3 linked regions of the Lonchura striata genome follow. The protein of the gene in region 3 purifies or fractionates together with the protein of the main gene of each other region. This does not show direct contact. Links are inferred from orthologs where the notes say so. Each region holds a gene or a part of one and is shown on either strand. Other genes may lie near its edges.

Region 1 (7,912 bases), on a different chromosome or scaffold from region 3:
TCAAAAAGGGCATGGAATTTCACAACACTACACAATGGAACAAGAGAACAGAAGTAGAGAAGCAGATATTGGAATGAGCAGGGTAATTCTAGAAAGGGATTAAAAAGTCAGCAGTGAGAAAATGAAGTAAGAAGAGAGACATCCAAGAGTTAGAAACAACCAGAAGGAGTCAAGTCAGAGCAGCACCGTCCCAGAGAGATCTGCTGTATTTTATATCACTAATTCCTGATAACTTCCACATTTATGTGATCACTCATATTAGAGCTGAGGGGGTACTATGTCAGAAATTACAGCACAAAGACACACCTTTATTCCTACCTTCCTTCTCTTCCCTATGCCAGCGCATACATAAAACAGTCTTTGTATTTTGGGTCTGGGTAAATTTAGAACAGAAAAAAAGTGTAATAATCTTCTAGTAACAAATCCTCCCATACTCACTCTCCCTTGAGACTCCCCTGTCTCAACTATTTCTGTCCTGGAAATCAGGTAACAGTATATACACTAGAACCCATACAAACAGAAGCACCATTATTGATCAATGTGCTTTTAAAAGGAAGGAAAAAAAAGTAATCTGTAATGTAAACACCAACAGCATTGACCAACTATAATGAATATCAAAATATTTTGCATCCATGGTTGATGAAAAGATTAGTTACAGATGTTCAGGGAAAAAAAAACCTACAGTGCCAATGCATAATAAACTGCAGACCCTGAAAAAAATTTCACTAATCTCAGTTAAATCCCTTATATACTGGAAAAGCAATTAATTAGCACAGCAAGAACATTTTATTACTTTACTAAAAGCAGGCATTACACTGAACTAAAATCCTGATTATAGTAGCTTCAGTATAGACTATTGAAGATTAAGTTTGCTTTTCTTTCTTCATAAGCATTCAAAACTTCTCCCACATCACTCCAGTCCATGAAGTAGACAAGCCTCTCCAGGCTTTGGAAAATGAGTTACTACCACATATCTGCTAATTAACTTAAATAGCACCAACTGGTATTTAGCTACAATGAATACTGCCACAAACACAGGGAAGTGCAGAATATACCAAAGTGGAAGGAATAAAGTAACTTTTCTTAAATGCTGACAAAGAAAACAAAAATACTTACTGCTTCAAATTTCTCCCTATTTTTCCGAAGATAGTCTACACAAGCCATCCTAACATCAATGTGTCGAGACTGAGAGTGCAACACCTACAAAGGGAGAAAGAGAACAAGGTGACATTGGATCTCAGGAGTTTTGATGACAGGCCACAAATAATTAATGACTGCTGTCTAAATACAGGCTTGGAAATACTCTAGCTTTATTTTTAAGAATATTTAATATGCATACTCATTCAGCAGCAACATCTTCAGGCAAGTCAAACCTCAATTACTTAATAAAAAATTAAGTAACTGCAGAATTCACAGGTTTGCTAAATTCAAACCTTCAATTTTATGAGGATTTACAAAGCAAATGAATATCATTTATTGTTAATCTTTAACTGCCTCCTTTGTAAAGGACTTCAGTTAATTGAAGGAAGTTACAGCAGGAATGGATGAGGAAGCCTACCAACATGCATTCATTCAAACAAAATCCAACCAAGTCTCACAGTGCATGTTTACCTTCTCCTCAAGAGGCGTGTTGGCCAAACACTTTTTTGGAAGCCAGGAATTCAGTTCCCTGAATATGACACCTATCTACCTCCCATTCAAATCTCTACTGGAAAACTATAATTTTCATCACATGTTACAAGTTATCTCAGTACAACCTAGAGAAGTCCCAGACAATTTAAGCTGCAGTGTCTCTTGCAGTCCTTACAAACCACCCTTAAAATAAATCACTTCCAAATTCAGTTTTTATGAATGAAGAGAACACAAATGAGACCAAATTTGCAGATAAACACTTAATAACTCTGAATTAAAGACCTTACTTTCTTAGAGGTCATTTCCAACCTAAATGATTCCATAATAAGATTGGGATGTTAAAAACATAATAGCTGAAATAAGTTTTATGAACACAGAAGTGTGAGAGAAACTTTCTAAGTATTAATTAAAAAGTCAGAATAGCAATATATATTTTATATATATATATTCTCTTGAGACAAAAACCCCCACCCACTTCCAATGAATAGTGTTTGCTTGCCTGAACTTATCAATTCAGTGGGGAAAGGAATTTTTTTTTTTTAAGTGATCTGTGTATAATTAGCACAGGAATCTGGGTTCCCACAATCAGAAGCACCAGAGCTCCCACTGCTGTTTGCTTGTACTTAAGACAAGATGACGCTGTCGCTTTTTTTCCTTTAACATTAACACTGAAATGGGGGAGGGGAATTCAACAGGAAGAACAGAAAATAAATTACTCACTTTCTCTAATTTTACAGTCAACTAATTAACAAAACTAAGAACGTGTCTTTTCAGCTCTAAATTCCTTTTCCTAGACAATCTCATACCCAGCAGTTGTATTTCGATGTTGAGATCTTACACTGAAAAAAGCTCTGAGGAGGCGGTGGAAGGTCAAAACAGATAAGGATTTCTTGGTGGCAGGAGGCAGCTGAACACCCGTAACTTCTCTCACCTCGCAAGGTGGAAATTATTTTTATAAAGTCACGTTTCTCACTGGCACATGACTGCACAACCCTAACCTATACCTGTCTGCGTTTTAACACTAATTACCACCCACTAATGAGATCCGCTTCCCATGCTTTCGTGAGAAGGAGCTTTGTTTATGTAACCAGTTACCTGCTCGGCCACAGCCCTGAAAAGGCAGGAGCCATCCTTGGCCACTTTCTTCCTGTACAAGCCCTGAGATCGCAGGTAGCGGTCCATGGACGTGTCCCCGGGAGCGTCGCTGCCGGGGTGGCTCTGCTCCCCTCCGCCGGCCCTGCCCGCCGCATCCATGCTCACCGAGGAGACCGCCGCACCCTCCTAGTCCCACATGGCGAGGAGAAGCCTCGGCGCAGCTCCGGGGCCGGGCACAGGTGCAACAGCCGGAGCGGGGGGCAGCGCTGGCCCGCCGGCAGCCGCAGGAGCAGGAACGGGAGCGGCAGGAAGAGCGGCAGCCGGCTTCGCCTTGTCCACTCGCATGTGGGGAGCGCGGAGAGAAGCGGCGAAGTTTCCTGCGCGGCCCGGACCCGCGGCTGCCCGGCCGCTGCGGAGGGCCGGGGGCAGCTCCGGCGGGTCCCGGTGCGCGGGGAGCGGGCGCGTCCCGGGCGCACGGCCGGCCTGCGGGCGGAAAACAAAAGGGAAAGGAAGGACACGTGCGGCCCGCCGGGAGGGAGAGAGGCGGAGGGCGCAAACAGGAGCGTAACCTGGCGCTTATTTTCACTTTCAGCCCGGGCGCTGCTGGGAGCCGTAGTCCCGGAGGAGGAGGAGGAAGCAGGAGGAGGCGGACACAGCGCCCGGGGCCGGGCTGTCAGCCTTGCTCCCGGTCAGGATCATTCCATTGCTTCTTAGAACCAACACCGCGGGAGTGGCTGGTGGAAAACTCGGCATAAGCCGGCAGTGTGCGCTCGCAGCCCACAAAGCCAGATGTAACCGGGCTCAATCCAAAGCAGCGTGGGCAGCAGGGCAAGGTGGGGGGGACTCTCTCCCCTTCTGTTGCCCTCTGCTGAGACTCCACCTGGAATATAGTGCCCAGCTCTGGTGCTCCCAGCACAACAACATGGAACTGTTGGAGCAAGTTCAGAGGAGGCCACGAAGTTGATAATGAGACTGGAGCACCTCCCCTACAAAGACAGGCTGAGAAAGTTTGGGCTGTTCTGCCTGGAGAAGAGAAAGCTGCATGGAAAACAAACAACAAGCTTCCAGTATCTGAAGGAAACCTAAAAGGAAGCAGAAGGACTCGGAACTGTGATGGGACAAGAAATAACAGACTCAAACTCACAGGGTGGAAATTTATGTTAGATATTAGGAAGAAATTCTCTACTGTAAGAGTAGTGAGACACTGGAGCATGTTGCCCACAGAAGCTGTGAATGCCCCATCCCTGGAAGTGTCCAAGGCCAGGTTGGACAAGGCCTTGAGCAACCTGGTCTAGTGAGAGGTGTCCTTTCACAGGGAAGTGGAGTTGGGACTAGATGATCTTTAAGGTCCATTCCAACCCCTTAACGTTCTATGATTCTGTCTGATATCTAATCCACAGTATGTGCAGTATCTGTGTCTAGGTAGGTTTTATTTGGTTTGGGGTTTCCCCCCAACAGATGAGATTGTAAGATTATTTTTTAACTCCATCCACTTGCAGGAAAGAAGATGAAAATAAAACTGAGAGAGTAAAAGAGGGCTTGATTGAAAATGGGATTTTAAAAAGCCACTGCCTTTCAATACTCCTAATGTATTAGGTTTTTTGCATGCCACTCCTAGTTGTAAGAAGCCTAAACATTTGTATCACAACCGCATGATTAAATTTTGCTTGGCATTATAAACAGGATTTAGAAGGTTTTGATGCAAAAATGTGACAAGGAAGGATGCTCTTCAAACTTGTAAGGCAACTTGAACAGAAACCCTGATTATTACTTTCAGCTGATAGTAGTAAGCCTAGGGAGGGTGGTGACTTGAGATCCTTAGGTAATAATAAGTAACTTATTAAATAAACACAAGTTACAAGCCAACCCAAGTCTAGTGCTCCACCAGCACCACACCGTCTCTAACAGAAGCTCAGGTTTGCCAGAAAGGAATAAGAAACAAATGCCAGTTCCTCATATCTCTGTATCTGTAGACAAGGAGAACAGAAAGTGAAAGAAGTGAAAGCAAAGCTCTACCCGCAGTCAAGCCTCCAAGACACAGTGAGGCAGCACAAGGATCGACGTTTTAGACACGGAAGAGGATAAAAATACCAGCAAGGGGCTGGAGGGAAAGCTCCAGCTTCTCCCCAGAAGATGGGAAACCTCATCTAACAAGGCTGAACTATAAACAGTTGCTGCCACTGACTCAGCTACCACACTCACTCAAGGAACTCAGGGCAGCAGTCCTGCATGTGAGAGCTACTTCTTCTGTAGGGAAAAATAATTTGGAAAGATACTTTTGAGACATATCATACTGGTGTCCAGTTACAGAGTTTCTTAGGAATATCCAATTTTTTCCTCACTCTATTTGTCATGTTTAAAGGCAGAACTGTGCTCTAATATTTAACAAATCTGTCTTCTCATATATTTCAGCCTTTTGTCATTGTGATTCTAAAGGCTGGTGAGGGGAAGGGCAAATGCCTTTCATCACATCTGTTAGACTCAAGAATGCCTATACACACCAGGCCATTCAGTATGTGACAGGATGTAAATGTGATTCTGATAAGTGAATACACAGCAAATTAGAGCATTAAAGTCGTCTAGTTGTCAGTGTTCTAAAATCCTGTTCCTCCTGCAATCAGCCCCTGAAGCTGACCAAGTGATGATCACCCACAGTTTTTTCCAAGTGCTACTATACAAGAATGAATCAATTTCTAAAGATTTTTAGTTCTCAATGAAGAAATCTACTCTGTACACATACTTGCTAAGGCTCAAGGAGAAATGCATCCACCAAAGGCACCTGAAACACCTCAGCATTACAATAAATGCTCCATTAAGATAAGAATGACCAAATTATAATTCACGAGTTATTACAGATGTTCTAACTACAGTTCCTACATATGCTCTAATTAGAGTTAATGCAGATGTTCTAATTAGCCGGCAGCTTTATTAACACTTTCGCCCAGCACTTATACCACGTGCATCAGCTCCAGCCACGAGTTTCTCCTCTCACTGCCCCTACCCTGAATCAGCCCAGGAAGCTGACTCAAGCCGAAAAAAATTCTTTTCAGGGAAGAAAAAAAAATAGATCTAACTTTATCTTTAAACCAAGATTGGTTTTGTGATCCAGGTCACGGCCTGCCTGTCCCAACACCTGGGCCAGCAACCTTGGGGAGAGCAGCCCGGTGCTCGCCGGCCTCGCGCGCCCTTTCCCGGTTCGCCACGCGCCCTCTCCCACCGCAGCTCGGGCACGGGCGGCCCGGCGGGGCAGGCCGGGGACAGGCACCCGGGCAGGGGCGGCCCCCGAGCCGCGGCCGCTGCCCCGCCGTGCCCCGCCCGCCGCTCCGGCACCGGCACCGCCGCCGCCGGGGCCGCACTCCCGCTGCCGCCGGCCCATGGCACTTACCGGCCCCCTCCTCCTATTCTCCTCCCCGCGGGCGACGCTGGCAGTGCCGGCAGCACTGACGCTCCTCGCCCCGCCGCGGCCTCGGCACTTCAATCTCCCGCGGCGGCCGCTCCGCCCGCTTCGCTCCTGCGGATGCACCCGCTGCCAGCCCCGTCCCGTCCCGCCCTCCCGCCGCGCCGATCCCCCCCCGCCCGCTGTTGGTTTGTCCCGCCGGCCACACCTGCGGCTCGCACCATTCACCGCGCGGGGGGGCGCCGAAGCGGGGGAAGAGGAGGCTGGGGAGAGCGCCCGGGCGCCGGGGCAGCGAGCCGGATGTAGCGCTGGGATGCTGCGTTGGGTCCGGCCCTGGTCGGCTCGGAGGAGCCGGATGGTGCCGAGGCGAGCGGCAGTGGCCTCATGTCGTCCTCACCCGTAAAGCCCGCAGTGGTACAGCCGAGGAACCTTTCCTTCCCCTCACCCAGCAGGTCCCAGCGAGGGGCGGGAATTGCCATGTGCCAGCGCTTCCCTCGGCTGTGCAGCCCGGCTGAGCGCCCCGCTCCGCCTGTGCGGCGCAGCGCGAAGCGTTTCTAAGCGTGTTCCTGACGGGGCAGTGTTCTTCTTAGTGAGGTGGCAGCCCGGGGAATAGGTTGGGATAGCACAGGGGACACCCCGCGTCACGCTGGCCGCAGGGATCACGCCACAGAGGTCGGAGGGGACGCCCCAGAGAGACACGGGTTGGAGGGGACTTCCACAGCTGGTTGTGCTGCCAGAAGGAGAAGTTGCTGAATTACGCCCTCGGTTCGTGCGTGCTACCACAGTAATTGTGTGTGTTTCTGAAATGTAACCATATACAGAGAGTGCATTCTCATATTCCGTTGCTCTTCCTCGGAAATGCTCTAGCAGACATGAAGAAACGTGTGAGATGTTTGTAAAGAAGTAGTGGGAAGGTTGTGAGAAGAGTGAGCAAATGTGCAGCAAATAGAAATTCGATTTTTTTTTTTTTTTTCCCTGACTAAAAAGCTTATGCAGGATGGGAACTCAATAGCAGCATGGCCAGCAGGGCAAGGGAGGGAATTCTGCTACTCTGCTCTGCTCTGGTGAGAACCCACCTGCAGTCCTGCATCAGCTCTGGGGTCCCCAGCGTGAGAAATTGTGGGAGCAAGTCCAGAGGAGGACCATGGACATACTCAGAGGATTAGAGCACCTCTCCTTTGAAGACAGGCTGACAGGATTGGGTTTTTCAGTCTGGAGAAAGTGCTGGGGAGACCTTGCCTGTAGCCATTCAGTACCTAAGAGGGGCTACAAGAGAGCTGCAGAGGGATTTTTTACAAGGGCCTGTAGCAAGAGAACAAGGGGACATGGCTTTAAACTGAAAGAGGGTAGGTTTATATTAGACAGTAGGAAGAAATTCTTTACTCTGGGGATGGTGAGGCATTGGCACAAGTTCTCCAGAAGAAGGTGTGGATGCCCCATCCCTGGAATTGTTCAAGGCCGTGTTTGATGGGACTCTGGGCAACCTCATCTAGTGGAAGGTGTCCCTGCCTGTGGCAGAGGTGCTGGAACTGGAACTCCTTCCAGCCCAAACCGTTCCATGATTCTGTGAGTCAGCTGTCCCGGCCATGCTCCCTCCCAGCTTTTCATGCACTTCTCCCTCACTGGCAGAGCATGAGACACTGAAAAGTCCTTGACTAAGGGTAAGCACTACTTAGCAACGAGCAAAACATCAGAGTATTTTTCTCATACTGTATCCAAAACAGAGCACTGTACCAACTACTTGAAAAAAAAAAAAAAATGAACTCCATCCCAGCCAAAACCAGGACA
Region 2 (8,010 bases), on a different chromosome or scaffold from region 3:
CAATGGTCTGTTGAAAACAAATTTTCTTTCAAACACAGTTTTCTAAAGCAGAGCAGAACAGCTTCTCTGTTTAAAACCCTCCATTTCTCCCACTCTCTCCTGGGGTTTACTGGCACTACAACTAGAGGAGACAAGAGACAACCGTTACACCTACTGATGAAGCAAGAGACTGAATGAAAGAATCTATTCAAACTCTGCTTACTTAACATTAATGCTGTCTATTTCAAAGGAAGGCATGAAAAGAAGCAAAGAACCCAAAACACCACCACTGTGAAGTGGTTTTGCTCCATTTCCTCCATACTTGCATACTGTGCATTTCTGTCCTACTCGCACCTACCTATGTTCTTCTGATTTCTACAAGGTCATGTGTATTCTGTAGTCCAAAACTGATCAGTATTAGTCCAGTGAAAGGACCGAATTACAGGGGAAAAAAGGGTGAGAAGATTTTAAATTTAGAAAAATTAAAGCAGATTAAAATAAGAATTAGATAATACCTCTACACAAGAGAGACAGCAACATTCAGTAGTAATTTACTTAAATTCTTAGGAGTTATATGTACAAACCAATACACAAGTCATGTAAGAAAACAAGTATTCTCATAGAAACTTTTCTCTCTCACCAAACAACAAATGTAAAGCATAGGTAAGTAATAGAAACATTACTGCAGTAACACCATAGCAGAAGCCATAAAAACTGGCTCATTTCTATTAGGCAGCTGTAGAATACACCAGTTTCTCCCTGTTTGGGAAAAAAAAAATTCATCTTAGACTTTCCTAGTCCCAGGAGCAGATATCAGCTACACATGCTCCATGCCTGTGTTCCTGGTTTATAATTGGCACAATGCCACAAGGCTTGAATAAAAACACCATGGCATAGAGAAGACTGCACAGCAAAAGGGATTTAGTAAGAAGTAGAAATGGATTATTCTAAGTATAACTTGGAGAAAAGTGCAGCTGACACAATGACCTCTTTCAAAAAGTAACTACATTTCTTTCAAACAGAATTATTTTTATTCAGTGTTAACTGCACTTTTTATTATTATTCATAATACTGAAGCTTCTTTCATCCATGACAGCCTCTGTAGGTTACAAAGTTTGGCCTGAATTCTTCACTCTGCCAGTAACATTCTTGCCACATTTCCTCACATATTTACTATTGCACAGAGCTTGAAAATTAAGTGGACACTTTTGGAATTGTCATAGTCTCAGTTAATACAAATTATATGCTTAATTAAAATTAAGTATATGGAAATAAAACAGATTTTTTCATTTAAGAAAAAAAAAAAAAAAGGCTTAACCAAAATAGAACAAAGTTTGGGGAAAAAAAATCACATGTAAATAAAAGAATCCCCATTCCTATTGGCAACCTATAATGATCAAGTAATATTCACCAAATATAACAGAGATCCTCCCATACAGTCATCCAGGCCCCTAACCGTTGGTCAACAGAAGGTTATCTCTTTATGCTGACCTCTGCTTTAGTCCAGAAAAGTCCATGGGCTCCTTTTCAAAGCAAGTTTGTTACATGCACCATGACAAGCATTATCTCCCCTCCAACACACAACCTCAGAACATGCAGGCACAGCCACAGCCCCAGTGGCAGGTGCCAACAGGGGCCATTGCACAACACTCCTCTCAAAATCATCGTCTGCAGTGCCTCAGCAAACACAGACCTTCACCAGGCACCTGAGAAGGAAGTTCCCCTTCTCAGCCTCTAAATATGTTTATATAGCAGCAAAACAGGTTCTCTGCCCTGTACGTGGGTTCAGTGCGTGTGGGGGCAGCTGGGGAGGAGATCAGGAAAAGGAACTCATTAGGAAAAACAGACCCTAGCTGCTGGGGCATATGTGTTGCTCTGCTGCTCACAATGCCAACTTCAAGTAATAATTCAAATACTCTTCTGTCTGGTTACCCTTCTCTGGATATACTGTCACTACAGAGAGCTCCTACAGATCTCCTGGCAGTAAAGACTGCTGGGAGGAAGATAAAAATGACAGCATTTCTTTAAGCTCACTCTGTCCAGGCCAGACCTGCACCTGCCCAGCCTCCTTACATACCCAACCTGTCTTTTTTCTGTCTTGCATACACTAAATGTTCCCAATTCCAAGGAAAATATTGATGGGATGCAACCAAAACTGAAAATGTCATTTTTGCAAATTAAGAAAGGGCCAGAGAGAGCTCCAGCTTCAGAGCTCTACTGTTCTACTTGGTTTATCTTCTCCCTCTCTGTGACACACCGTTTTGTCAGAACTTTTACCACAGAGATCTTTGCATAAGCTTGTACTTGCAGATTTCAGGAGCAGTCCACAAATTTCACAAAAAGCGATTTCAGCTCTGAAAACATCACAGATATTATACGGGCATTTGGTTACAATGCTAACAGTCCTTAATCAGTCCGAACACAACCTGGAGATCAGGTCATATCTGACATCCCGAGAAGCTCCGGGACTTAAAAACTCTTGTTTCCTAGTCGAAAAGTTACAATTAATTTTCTCAAAACCGAAGTGGCTCTCAAAACCAAGTCCCTCCTGTTTCACACCGAGACCAGAACTTAATAAAACGGGTATTTGGGGTTTTTCCCCGCGTATTTGCACGTCCTGTACTGGAGAGAGAGCTCTCCCTCCGCCCCAAGGTCCCGAGAGGCTCTCCCGCACCTCCCGGGACGGCAGGCGGAGGGGACACGTGCGGAGGGCCGGGCCCCTTCACCGCCGTGCCCCGTGCGGGCCGGGCCGGGCCGGGCCGGGCCGACTCACCCAGCGCCACCTGGCAGGCGGTCCGCAGCTGCCCGTGCGGGGGCCGCTTCGCCTCCTTCTCCGCCAGGATCTTCTCCAGCGCCCGCGACACGAACATGCTCTTGGTGCGGGCGTCCTGCTCGTGAGCCGGTGGCTGCATGACGGGGCCGGGAGCGGGACGAGCACCGGGCCCGCGACACCACCCGGAAGGGACGCGCCTCCCTCAGCGGCCGCGCCACGGCGCCGCCATCTTGACACCGTCACGTGATGCGGCCGGCCCTGACCCCGCCCGCGGGGCCGCGCGTGCCGGGGGCGGGGCCGAGGGCGGGGCAGAGGGCGGGGCCTGCCTGAGGGGCGGGGCGGGCCAGCCTGAGGGGCGGGGCGGGGCCGAGGGCGGGGCCTGCCTGAGGGGCGGGCCCGGCCAGGCCCGAGGGAAGCTGTCAATTACTGCCCGGGATGTGATTTACTGTCGCGTTGGGGGAATAGTCGGGTTTATAATGCTTCTGACCTAAGTATCTCGCCATTCGCATTATCCCTGTTAACTCTCACACAGTCCTGTAACGAGGCATGCAGAGAGAGCACATCTAAAAAAGCCAAGTCGTACACTAATGAGGACTCACTAAAAATGAAATTTTCAGTCACAGCTATGAACTCTCTGTTAATAAATAACCTTATACCTAATTGAATCTTCTCCCTTTCCCCTTTGCCTAGGTAAAGCACCTCACAGCTGAAACCCGGTTCGGGGCTCCAAAGCCGGTAGCCATGGGCAATAATCTGTATTTACTCCATTGGCACCATATGGCAACAATCCATATTTACCCTATTGGCACCGTGCAGCAATAAACCATATTTACTCCATCAGCACCATGTGGCAAGAATCCGTATTTCCTCCATTGCACCCTCCTTGTTCTGCTAACCATCACTGTGCACAGACAGCTCTTCCATGAAATTCCACAAAGGTCTCCTTCAAATTCAGATGGCCACATCTAATGGGGAATACAGGAGCACATTCAGTTCTCCAGATTGCAGTTTTGCTTCCTTTTTCTCAAACAGCAGGACTCTAACTCTGTAAAATGACATCAATAAATCTTCAGTGTTGCTTTGTCAAGAGCTGCAATTCTTGTCCCCAAAACCACTAACAAAAGCTCCAAACACCTGTGCAAAGCATCAGTTTAGTATTATTTCCCAGGGAAAATTGACCAGTGCTTGTAATTTTTGACACATATTTTTAAAATCAAAAATGTGACTGCAAACCCAACCCCCAAGGTATACATCTAGATGTTCCTTTCACTTACTCTACTGCACATTAAGGGTAATTTTACTGTTATCACTGAAATTACAGTGATGCAAAAGTGACATTACTAAAAGACAAACAAGGCCCTGAATCTTTTTTGAGAGTTGCTGACTTAGTTATTGACACAAAAGGAGGCTGTAATTACTGTCAGCAGCATTGCAGAACTAATTAAGCAGCAGAGCTCTTCACATATTGTCAGCCAAATTATCAGTTCTGATTTTAGGGTTTTTATCGTGGGACAGGATTAGTTCTCAGGAGAGAAGCAAATGGATACAGGCTAGTTTTTAGAAAACAGATTGAACAGATGGTTTAACGGAGATTTTAAAAAATTTTCTATCAGGTAAGCCCCCTGTTTTTGAAATCACAGAGTACTATCTGAATTCATAGGTGTAGGGCTACACTGGGGTTGTGGTTTGGATTTCAAAGAGCCAAGAGCCAGTAGCAGGCCTCGGTTTTTCAGCGAGCTCTGATGCCAGCGGCAGATGAAGAACGCAGAGCTGCTGCGTGGCATGCTCCCCTAGCTGAAGTTTGGTTATAGCCAAGGGCTTCTTTTACCTGAACACCAAATGCACCTGGGCTTCCAGCACATGGCATAATGCCTCAGTGTCTCCCAGCCCACACGATGTCTCCACCACGAGAGACAGACCGTCCTGAAGTCCAAGAGGCCTGCTCCGCACACAGTGCTCTCCTTACGCTGCCGTCACGGAGAACTAAACTCAGTGGAAGAATAATGGCCTTGATGTCATTCTTACGACTAGTTTCAAAGATTCTTTTCCTCAGAGTATTTTAAAGATTACAGTAGCTGATTTTGAGGGAAGAATGTGAGTCATTTGGCTAATTCAAGAGCAGCATAGCCAGTGCAGTGCTGCTGCTGAGCGCAGCACCGTGCTGCAGAGCGGAGCTGCGTGATGTGTGCCGCTGGCTGCAGACAAAGAAAGAAAGCCTTTCAGTGGGAGAGGAGGCAGAGCAAGGGGGAAGAAATACACGTATCTCATGCATGTGCTTGCCAGTGCGTTCCATGCCAATTCCAACGATTACTATTAAACTGCTGTAAATAGCTCATTGTGGCAAATACGTCTGTAGTGCGAGACATAAATCATGAGCAAACAATGCCGAACAGGTGGACAGAGTTCAATTTGTACAAGCTACTTCCTTGGCAAGAAGCTGCTCTGGATTTCTGCCCAGAGGCCAGGTGCTCTGTACTGACTCACAGGACTAACCTCGCAGCACTTTCCCACTGGCATGTTGCTACATAGCTTGTTTTAGGAAGGAAACCACAGTCTAAAAATAGATGCAGAAAGGACATTCTTGGAAATGGGAAATTCTTGGAAAACCAGTACTGGTCTGTATAGTAGCTTGGTTCCCAGTCCAGCATTAGCATAGAACTTCTTTTACTTCTGCCTATTTTTAATAATTTCCTTTGGGACTGATCCTATTTATTCTGCCTGGCTTCCAGCCACTTTTCCTGCTGTCCAGTAATGTACTTATTTGTGGATTTCCCCGGGGGGGTATCATCATTTGATTCACTGTCTCAACTCTCTAATTTTTTCCAGTTCAACACTGCATGCTCTAAAATCAGTAAATCCACATAGTAAAGCGCTCTTCCACTGCTAGCAATATAATTGAGATAACTATTAAGTGAGTAATTATTCAAGTATTTCTGTGATATTAGCGAGGCATTTCACCATGATGTGTATAGACAATGCTCTCCCTTTCACTCCCACTATTTTCTTCAAATCCCAGTCTGAGACCTTCTGTGTCTTCTGACCATCTTACTGCCAGCAGGCTCACACAGACCTTGCACTCCAGCCAGAGAAGCCCTGTAATGTGAGAAAAGGACAGACAATATATCTAAACAGCACTGTGTAATGTCATGAGATGAAAAGAAAAATCACTTGGCAGGAGAGGCACTGGAGCTGCTTGTCCACCGAGCTGGGCCAGGCTGGGCAGGAGCTGCTGCAGCCAGCCCTGCACCACAGCCAGCCCTGCACCGCTGACAGCCCTGCATCACTGCCAGCCCTGCATCACAGCCCTGCACTGCATCGCTCCCAGCCCTGCACTGCTCCCAGCCCTGCACCACTCCCAACCCTGCACCGCTGCCAGCCCTGCACCGCTGACAGCCCTGCATCACTGCCAGCCCTGCACCGCTGCCAGCCCTGCACCACAGCCAGCCCTGCACCGCTGCCAGACCTGCACCGCTGCCAGACCTGCACCGCTGCCAGCCCTGCACCGTTGACAGACCTGCACCACTGCCAGCCCTGCATCACAGCCCTGCATCACTGCCAGCCCTGCATCACAGCCCTGCACTGCATCGCTCCCAGCCCTGCACTGCTCCCAGCCCTGCACCACTCCCAACCCTGCGCCGCTGCCAGACCTGCACCATTGACAGCCCTGCACCGCTGCCAGACCTGCACCGCTGCCAGCCCTGCACCGTTGACAGACCTGCACCACTGCCAGCCCTGCGGTGCTGCAGCCACCACTGGCTTTCAAACCTGCTCACTGCTGGGATTTACTTTTTAACCCAATATTTTACCTTGAAGTAAGTTACAAAGGATAATAGCAGTATTTCAAATAAGTGAGATTTATACAATTTTAAGTAAATACAAATTAAATTCTTCTTTCCTTATAAAGCCATCAGAATAGATCAGATTTGCAGTTCTCTCTCTCTCAAAAGAGAACTTGAACTTTCTTATTAAAAAATCTGGAATACATACTTTGGCAATACCCCAAATCTGCAGTTTTCATTTTTTTCACATTTCAAAGAATCGGCAGCCTGTCCAAAGAAAGTAGATATTTATCCCACACAATAATTTTGTTAAATTAATTTTTTTTTTTGTTGACCTTTCAATAAACACCAAGTTAGAGATTTTTTTTCACTTGTCCTGGCAGAAGGAGCCAATCCTGAGATCCGCTGTGGTACCAGACTCACATGAAGGTATCACAATAAATCACGTGTACTGGACAGAAGCAGACAAAGACCCTTCGATGCTGAACTGCAGCCTCTGTTCCTTGTTATGGGATCAAATAATATGTAACCATAAGAGGATGGTAAGGAATATAACAGTGTTCAGACAAGCAGAGATGCAACAGAATCTGAAGGTCAGACTTAAATCAAAGTGTTCACATATTCAAAAATTATTGCCTTTGTGGCCCATATTACTGAACAGCCACTGCTCTCACTGGTAGCAGAGTGTGTTTCTGATGAGCAGCAGCCCTAAACACAGTCATTTTAATAGCTTAACATAGGCTTGAAATTTTCTGTTTTCCTTTTACAGTGTTTAGAACCATATCAAAAGTCTGCAATTACCTACATACAGAGAAACATTAGAAACAACGTGTTTTGAAAAAAGCAAAAGTGCATTTATTTTTAAAGGATAGCAGCCAGAGAGAAGGAGCATTTGGGGAAAATATTTTTGCCAACTCCTGCTTTTGCCTGCAGAGCAAGAAGTGTAATTGTTTGGAAAGATGCAAATGAAATTGAGTAGCTCCCACACCCTGGGGTGCTGGAGAGGTGGAAGACCTGGGGCTAGATAATCACTCACTTCCAAATTTCCTGTCTGAGAGGTGATAATGAGACTTTACTTGCCACAGAAGCAAGTGCTAGTTGGAGTTGTGTATATTTGAATGGCACAGACCTGGCTGTTCACATTGTGTCTGTGCACAGAAGAGCCTACTTTGCACAGCACTCTGCTTTTCACTTAGGCAAGTGTATAATGAGGCAGATTTTGTTGACACAAACCTTGTACTCAGTAAAAACAAAGGAAATGGAATACTAAGCTACAGAAGATCCTGGTTTTCAATTGTAGTGGGTTTCTATCAGGATAACTTCAGTCAGAAGAGATGAGTAGCTCTTTGAGGAATTAAAATGATGTGACCTTCTCTCTAACCTTTAATCTGATCTTTATTTCTCATAATTTCTTGTAAGAAACTCAGAGTGCCATCAAGAAATGTCCCTAGCTTTATCATACAGTATAGACCTTACTCA
Region 3 (7,953 bases):
TAGTTCCCCCCCTTCTTCATGTATTTAAAAACAAATAAAAAACAACAAAAAAAGGAAGTGTGAAGAAGCAAACTTCAGAACCCATTGCCACTGCAGGTACTCAGATCTAAAGCTGCAGGTCTACAACACTGAAATGGCCAATAACTTAGCTTCATAATTGCTGGCATACTGAAATCCCAGCCCTCTGGCATCCTGTCAGACTCTCTTAGCTTGTGAAAATGCAATCATTAGGTAAAATGCATTGAAAAAAGTCACGTTCTCAATGCAAGGCATCGAAATGAATCCATCCAGTCCACCCATGAGTCAGAAGCAATATTGTGCATAAAGTCTCAATAAATAAGTCACAGCAAAGGAAAAGGATACTCCAGTGCACTATCTGGTTTCTCTGGCTCTTCATATAAGGCTACCAACACTGCAAATAGAAAATATTCAACAATTGCAAGAAATTCATGCAACTCTAAGTTTTTTAAACACATATCAGCAGTCAGAAAGCATACATGTTGTATTTGTCCATTTAACAAGATTTTCACTTGCACACTTTGACATAGGCAACAGGTCTGCTGTATCAGAGGGGACAGAGCATTCCACCTAGTAACAGCTAAAGAGAATTTTCTTGATCCCTAACCCCACATTGTGTTCTGGCTGTTCTAGCACAGAACATAAAACATCCTGAAAAAAAATTTACATATGCCACATGCACCCTAGTACTAGCTTTTACCAGTAAGACTGAAATTCTAACTATATTGTTCATAAAACTTGTACTTAAGCTACATCTTTAAACCACAAGACATCAGCAGATTTGTAACTTCCAGCAGAAGAGCAAACCTCCATTGATAATCTACAGTTACAAAACTAAACAGCTACTACACGGCTAGGTGACACTGATAATTTTTACGGGTAGGGACTCTAATGGCCAAAACCGCCAGAGAAAAGCAGCAATACCCCGACAATTTAAATAAAAATAGCCATTTACATAGCAACATAACGGGAGACTGTCACATGAACACCCAGGAAGTTCCCAATCACAACCACTCCCTGCTTCCCCACAGGGGCCATGTGCCAGTTTCAGAAGTCTTGAGCTACACAGCCAAACTGGTTTTAAGCTAAGTACTTCCTAAGTTAAAAGCAAAATTAGTCTGCCTCACTGCTTGGAAGATTTGTTTTGCCATCCCATAGGATGGCACTGCGATTGAAAAATCAAATGGTACTCACACACCAGGCCAAGAGTCTTAGTGCAGCAGCTATTTACTTGACATCCTAGATCTGCTGCTCCCTCTTTAAACAGCATATTTTCAATATTAGCAGAATATTAATTTTTTCATTATTAACACATTTTTTGCCACATACTACTAGAAGGTTCTCAAAAAGATTTTAGGAGGATTTCAAAAATACTAAGTCACACATGTCAAGTTGAGCATCATCATTTTCTCCAGTTTGATATGGAGAGTCATTAATCCAGAACTTAGTGTCATTCATTCTAGAAAAAAAAGCACTAAGTGCTGTTATAAATGAGAATTTATTCAGCCAGATTAAAAAATAAAAATAATTTTTATTAGCGGTCAAATTCTATCTAGCCAGCCACAAGGAAAGAACAGAGCCGAGCCTGGGGTTGGCCCTGGGTGTGCCACAAGGAGTCAGCCTCAGCAGAGGTTCTCCCCTATGCCCACACACCTCCATCCTGGCACAAGCGGTTTTTTATAGGGAAAATTCTGCCTGAGGCCAAGATTTTCTTCTATTCAGAGTCCATAGGTTAATAAGATTTTCTTTTTTTGGTAATGAGGAGAAATAATTCAATGTCCGAAGTAGGTGAATCCCTGATGAGATTTTACGGGAAGGCTGCATTCACATGGATCTGTCTGAGGATTTCTATGATATCCACCTCGGGCCATTCATGCGATGATCAGCACCGATGATCAACACCTGGAGCCCAGCCATGGCCCATCTCCTGGCCGAGCCACTTGTAAATCAGTTTCCAATATACACCCAGTCTCACCTGCAAAGGGGGGGAACTAATACAACGGGCATAATCTAACAAGTATCTAATATTACATATTTCATACAAGGAATGGCGCGAATTATATTTACTACACATAACAGTGCCATCCAAGAAAAGGTATGAAACAAAGTTCTTTTAAAATAACATTTGCTGTTATTTCATCTCAAGCACTGACTTCCTCTGTAGAAAAACCTCACAAAAAGCGCCCATTGAAAGAAAATAAACGACCCAAAGGCACGCATTGAAAGTAGCACTTCGGCCGAAGGAAGAGGTCTCCAGCACACACTGGGGGAAAGGAGCAGCCTTGCCGTTCTACACGCACCTCCAGCAGCGGCCGCCCGCGCGGGGAGCGTGCGGGGCAGGGCCGGTCCCAGCGCCCGCTGCCCTCTCCCGGCGTGCGCCGCCTCGCCGCGCACCTCGGACTCCATTTCCTGGCCACGCCGCACCAAGTTCTCCAGGCGAGTTCTTCTGCCGGCCGCCTCGCCGGACTGAGGAGAAAAAGCGATCGGCGAGGCGAGGCGCGAAGCCCATGGAGAGCGGCGGGGCAGCCCGAGGGACGGCCGAGACGCTGCCGGGCGGGAGCGGGACAGCCTGAGAGGAACGAGGAACGGCACCCGCCCGCAACGCCCCGGAGCGCGCCCGCCGGCCGCGAGCCGGACACTTACCCTTGGTGAGCATGTCCAGCACTCCCGACTTCTCCAAGTACTGGCGGAACTGCTCCCGCTTGGAGTCCGCGGCCTGAGGGAGGACGCCCACACGGTCAGATCGGCGGCGCGCCCCGCCTCGACTGCGGAGGCGGCCCTTTAGCACAGGCCGGTCCCGCTCTCCGCCGCAGAGGCGGCACGAAGGGCCGAGCCGGGGTCGGCCGGCGGCCCGCCGCTCCGCGCAGCCGGCACGGAGAGCGGCACCGCGCCCACGCCGGCGCGCTCCCCCCTACCTTGTGGTGCGCCATCTGAGCCGCACGGCGCCTGCCCCGGCCGCGCGCCTGCGCCCTGCGCTTTAACGGCGCGAGCGCTTCCCCGCGGTTGCCACGGCGACGGCGCCGCGGCAGCGGCAGCGCCGGGCCCGCGCGCCGCCCGCGCTCCCCTCAGCGGGGCCGCGCTCCCCTCAGCGCCGCCCGCGCTCCCCTCAGCGGCCGCGCCGGGCCCGCGCGCCGCCCGCGCTCCCCTCAGCGGCCGCGCTCTCCTCGGCGGGGCCGCACTCCCCTCGGGGCGGCCGCGCTCCCCTCGGCGCGGTCCGCTCCCCTCGGCAGGGCCGCGCTCCCCTCAGCGCGGTCCGCTCCCCTCGGCGGGGCCGCGCTCCCCTCAGCGCCGCCCGCGCTCCCCTCGGCACCGCCCGCGCTCCCCTCAGCGGGGCCGCGCTCCCCTCAGCGCGGTCCGCTCCCCTCAGCTCGGTCCGCTCCCCTCAGCGGGGCCGCGCTCCCCTCAGCGCGGTCCGCTCCCCTCAGCGGGGCCGCGCTCCCCTCAGCGGGGCCGCGCTCCCCTCAGCGCGTTCCGCTCCCCTCGGCGCCGCCCGCGCTCCCCTCAGCGCGGTCCGCTCCCCTCGGCGGGGCCGCGCTCTCCTCGGGGCGGCCGCGCTCCCCTCGGCGCCCCCCGCGCTCCCCTCAGCGCGGTCCGCTCCCCTCGGCGCCCCCCGCGCTCCCCTCAGCGCGGTCCGCTCCCCTCGGCGCCCCCCGCGCTCCCCTCAGCGCGGTCCGCTCCCCTCAGCGCGGTCCGCTCCCCTCAGCGCCGCCCGCGCTCCCCTCAGCGGGGCCGCGCTCTCCTCGGCGGGGCCGCGCTCTCCTCGGCGGGGCCGCGCTCTCCTCGGCGGGGCCGCGCTCCCCTCAGCGGGGCCGCGCTCCCCTCAGCGCGGTCCGCTCCCCTCAGCGCGGTCCGCTCCCCCCAGCGGGGCCGCGCTCCCCTCAGCGCGGTCCGCTCCCCCCAGCGCGGTCCGCTCCCCCCAGCGGGGCCGCGCTCCCCTCAGCGCGGTCCGCTCCCCTCGGCGCGGCCTCGCCCGCCTCGGGGCGGCCTCGCCGTCCGCTGCCGCCCGAGGGGAAGCCGAGCCCGGCGTCGTGCCCCCTTTCTTGCGCGGCCCTGCCTCCTCTCCCGCTCTGCCCTGCTCCCCTGGCCGGGGACGGTTCCGGGGCTCAGCTCAGCTCCCCGCGGAGAAGGCGAGCGGGGCCGCGCCGCGGGGTCCGGGCGGAGCTGTCCTGCGGGTCGCTGGAGTTCTTTCTGGTTTTCATAGTAAGCCTTCGGGTTTGTGAAATTCAAAGTGTCTGATTAATACATTTCAGTAGCTGCAGCTGACTGAAATCACAGGAGAAAGTTGCAGCCAGCAGCGGCTGCAGAGGGTCTGTGAGGCATTGAAGAGTGGTGAAATCTTCGCGACGAAAGTCTTTTGCCCTAGCCTGTTTAAAAAAAAAAAAAAAAAGAAAAGAAACTGTTACACCTGATTATTTTTCTGAAACGCTGACAGATAAAATCTATTTATTGTAGAAATTTTTAAAAATTAAAAGAAAAAGACCAACCAAATGATCTTGCACATATGACGTTAGGGAGTTTTCATGCTTTTTTTCCATGCTCTTCCACAATGTTTGCAGTTTTCAGTGGTTACTCTTCATTTGGGAAGGTGCTGTGATTAAACAAAATGTCTGACTCATATCCAGGCATAAAAAAGTTAATAAAATTCCTCTCACTGCAGCAGAAAAATTCATTTCTAACTTGTCTTGAACAACAAAAATACAGATGTCATGTCCCATACATGAACATCTAAATGCTAACTTTCTGTTATTTAGACAGCAGGAACAGAGTGCATTAAATATGAGGCTTTTTATTATGGAGAGATTAAATGCAAAACAAGCATTAGCAGTTATTGCCCACAGGATTTTACACATCAAGAAATGCAAGAATCAAAGCCACAGCAGCAGCATGAACTTGCCTAAGTCACACTATTACAGTTATGTATGTTCCAGTATAGTATACGACCTTAAATTTTACAGTGTAAACACAATTATGTATTTATGTATACACATAGAAGTGAAAAGGAAAGAAACCTACAGCAAATAGTTTTAATAGTTCTCATGTGTATTTCTTTAATGCTGCTACAAGCAAAATAGCAGTTTAGGTTTTCTGGCTTCTTTTTTGCTAGTATTGTACAGTTTTCAGGCAATCTGAAACATGGCTGGTTGGTAAGTATAATGACAGTGCACTTTAAGAATTTCATTGTGCTGTAACATCATTATGTTATATCTCACAGATTATTTTTTTCAACAGATGAACAGTATGTCATATCTGCTAGTAAGAAATACACACAAAAAATACTAATGCATTTCAGCTGTGACCACCTCACCAAGTATTTACAGTGTTTCAGTGCTGTGCACCTCAAATAAATGTATTCCATACATGGAAAGCTTGATTACAAATGTACCATAGTATTTTGTTCATCTTTGCCCCCTTTATAATTTCAAGATGTTTCATGGAACTTCCTTTACACCATATGGACCTGAACAGCAAGTGGATAAATGTCCTAATGTTTTGTTATCCCCATTAAAAGCATAAACACAAATGCTCCTCCTAAACAGGTAGGACCTTTGTTTGATTTAAAAGCTTATCAGTATTCAGGGGAGACACAAACAGAAAATGACTAGTTTTACTCTTTGATAAACCTTTTATATGTCTTTTGACATTGTAACTCAAATCAGGAAGGTACTACCATATTTGCTTTTTTTGGTTCTCTGTTTTTGGAGTTTTTTTTCTGTTTTCCATAGTAAACCTTCTGGTTTGTGAAAATCAAAATGTCTGATTAGTAAATTTCAGTAAATTGTTTTCTGATTTTGCTATCTTATTAGTGTTATGAAAAATGTCAAAAGTAAAGCTCACAACATGTCTGGAATTCCTGATGTTTAAAAAAAATAGCGGTGTATTGAATTCTGACAGTATACTATTAGAAATTCACTTTGATTTTTCTGCTGAGGTAGTCAGTGGTGATACACTGAAAAAAAGTACCATGGAGCCAACAAATTAGTGATCTGTTTTGCAAATGCTTTTTTTCTTTGTATTTACAACAGCTTGAACTGTGGAATAAGTTTGACATTCTGCTTTTGGTCAGCTACCAAGTGTCTGTTTGAATTCTCACACTGATTAGGCAGAGACATGTTTACCAATAAATTCTTTTGAGAGTATCTTTAACCTAATTTGATTTACTGGTCTTTGTAAAAATATTGTTAGACTGTAAATTTTGTCTCCTACTTTTATTCGGTTTTAATAGTACCAGCTGTGATTTTATGCCTTTTTCCTAATATGTGGGCTGAGAGGATGTATGTTTTCCTTTTTAGCTGGAATGTAGAAGTTTATACACTGAGATCTATGCCACATTTTCATTACAAAAGAAGTAAAGAAACTGTTTAAAATTACTTAGCTACTATTCAAAGGGTTACACAGCTATGTAAACAGCTGGCTAAAGTTGAATTATTTAGCTGCACTTACACGTAGGTCTGGGTTATGTCTCTGTTCAGGAATTATCCCAGCACTGGGTAGTGCAGCTAATGGGTTAACTCACACTATATTTGAAGATCAGTGGGGGCACGCCTACTGCTGGCATTACTTGACAGTGACTGTTGCCTAGACAGAGACAAAAGCTTAGGACTATTCCAATTTCTGCTTTGTGTAGATTCTGAGCTCACCACCCCCATGGAATCAGAAGTGTCTGGTCGGCTGGAATTTTTTCCATCAGCATTGTAAGGAATTTGGGCTTTGTTTACACTGAAACTGCTCTGTCTTCTGTCCCTGTTCTTTGGAAGAGAATTTGTTAGTGCTCCTGTGTCCTCAACCATTGTCTGTCGTCTAAAACCGGCATTAGGAAAAGTTGTACCAGGTTGCAATGAAGTTTGACCTGGCAACTCAGCAAAGCTTCTCAAGTACATGTTTGAGGCAGTATCTGCATTCTGAGTATCAACAAGAAAATGTTTCTTTTCAGCCTCTTCTTGTGCATCATGTGTCTCAGTCCAAAGCTCACCAAGAAAGCCTTCGTTATTATTTGTGCTAGCATTTTGAGTCTGATTGTCTAAAGCATTTGTAGCTGGCCTCTTCTTTGGAGATTTATTTTCCTGATTGCAATGGGTGTAATTGCTGCTGCTTTCTGCACGGTTATTTTGCACAGACTGAAACATAGAAGGAGAATTTAAAACTGGGTAGAGCATAGTGTCAGTTTGCTTTTCCATCAAAAAGGTATAACTGCTAAGAGCACAAGGAAGTGTTTTCTGAGGGGTGGTGGATATTCCCAAGGAAGAGTGTGGTATCGCAGAATATTTCTTAGATTTGTTTATGTAGAAATGGTCAGAGTCATCTTTGTTTTTATTCTGCTCACAGAGTCCCATTTTAATTTTCCGGAATCCTAAGTGGATAATTTCTAGAATATTTAAAAGCAATGATACAGTTGCTATTGATTGCATAAATAATATAAACACTGTCTTTTCTGTTGGTCTAGATACAAAGCAGTCAACTGTGTTTGGACATGGGTCTCTCTGACATTTATAAAGAGGATCTAAGTGAAAACCATAAAGAAGATACTGCCCAATCATAAAGCCAACTTCCACTGCAGATCTTGTGAAAATATGTATGACATAAGTGCAGAGCAAAGAGCCTCTTAGGGGTGCTTTGTTTAGCTTTCTTTGATCCAATTGCCGGAGCTCTCTCTCCAGTCTTTTACGATTTTCAGTCATTTCTAATTCAGTGCTTTCAAGTTCCACCCTTACCTGAGCTTTCTTTTTTTGCCTCTCTTTTTCCAATGCTCTTAGTCTGTATAAGGCATGACCCATATACACCAAAGAAGGGGAAGACACAAATATGACCTGCAAAACCCAGTATCTTATGAGAGAGATGGGAAAGGCCTCATCATAGCACACATTTCTGCAACCAGGCTGCTCAGTATTGCATATAAATTCTGATTGTTCATCATTCCAAACATCCTCGGTTGCCACT

The links. The genes of interacting proteins can lie anywhere in the genome.
Region 1: the proteins of MYCBP (region 3) and OTUD4 purify together in Homo sapiens (co-immunoprecipitation; 3 studies listed by BioGRID and IntAct, with this or other methods). This does not show direct contact. The link is inferred for Lonchura striata from reciprocal best matches to the Homo sapiens genes MYCBP and OTUD4.
Region 2: the proteins of MYCBP (region 3) and ARFGEF2 purify together in Homo sapiens (co-immunoprecipitation; 4 studies listed by BioGRID and IntAct, with this or other methods). This does not show direct contact. The link is inferred for Lonchura striata from reciprocal best matches to the Homo sapiens genes MYCBP and ARFGEF2.

What each region holds. Positions count from the first base shown.
Region 1 is NC_134606.1:62,009,729-62,017,640, forward strand, and holds the start of OTUD4 (OTU domain-containing protein 4), read right to left. Parts: upstream 3,010-7,912; 5' UTR 2,887-3,009; coding exon 2,728-2,886; intron 1,201-2,727; coding exon 1,117-1,200; intron 1-1,116.
Region 2 is NC_134619.1:557,782-565,791, reverse strand, and holds the start of ARFGEF2 (brefeldin A-inhibited guanine nucleotide-exchange protein 2), read right to left. Parts: upstream 3,010-8,010; 5' UTR 2,892-3,009; coding exon 2,753-2,891; intron 1-2,752. UniProt on the Homo sapiens protein: Promotes guanine-nucleotide exchange on ARF1 and ARF3 and to a lower extent on ARF5 and ARF6. Promotes the activation of ARF1/ARF5/ARF6 through replacement of GDP with GTP. Involved in the regulation of Golgi vesicular transport.
Region 3 is NC_134628.1:5,085,697-5,093,649, forward strand, and holds the start of MYCBP (C-Myc-binding protein), read right to left. Parts: upstream 3,011-7,953; 5' UTR 2,949-3,010; coding exon 2,934-2,948; intron 2,735-2,933; coding exon 2,662-2,734; intron 413-2,661; coding exon 364-412; intron 1-363. Other genes in the region: GJA9 (gap junction alpha-9 protein), read right to left, coding at 6,534-7,953. UniProt on the Homo sapiens protein: May control the transcriptional activity of MYC. Stimulates the activation of E box-dependent transcription by MYC.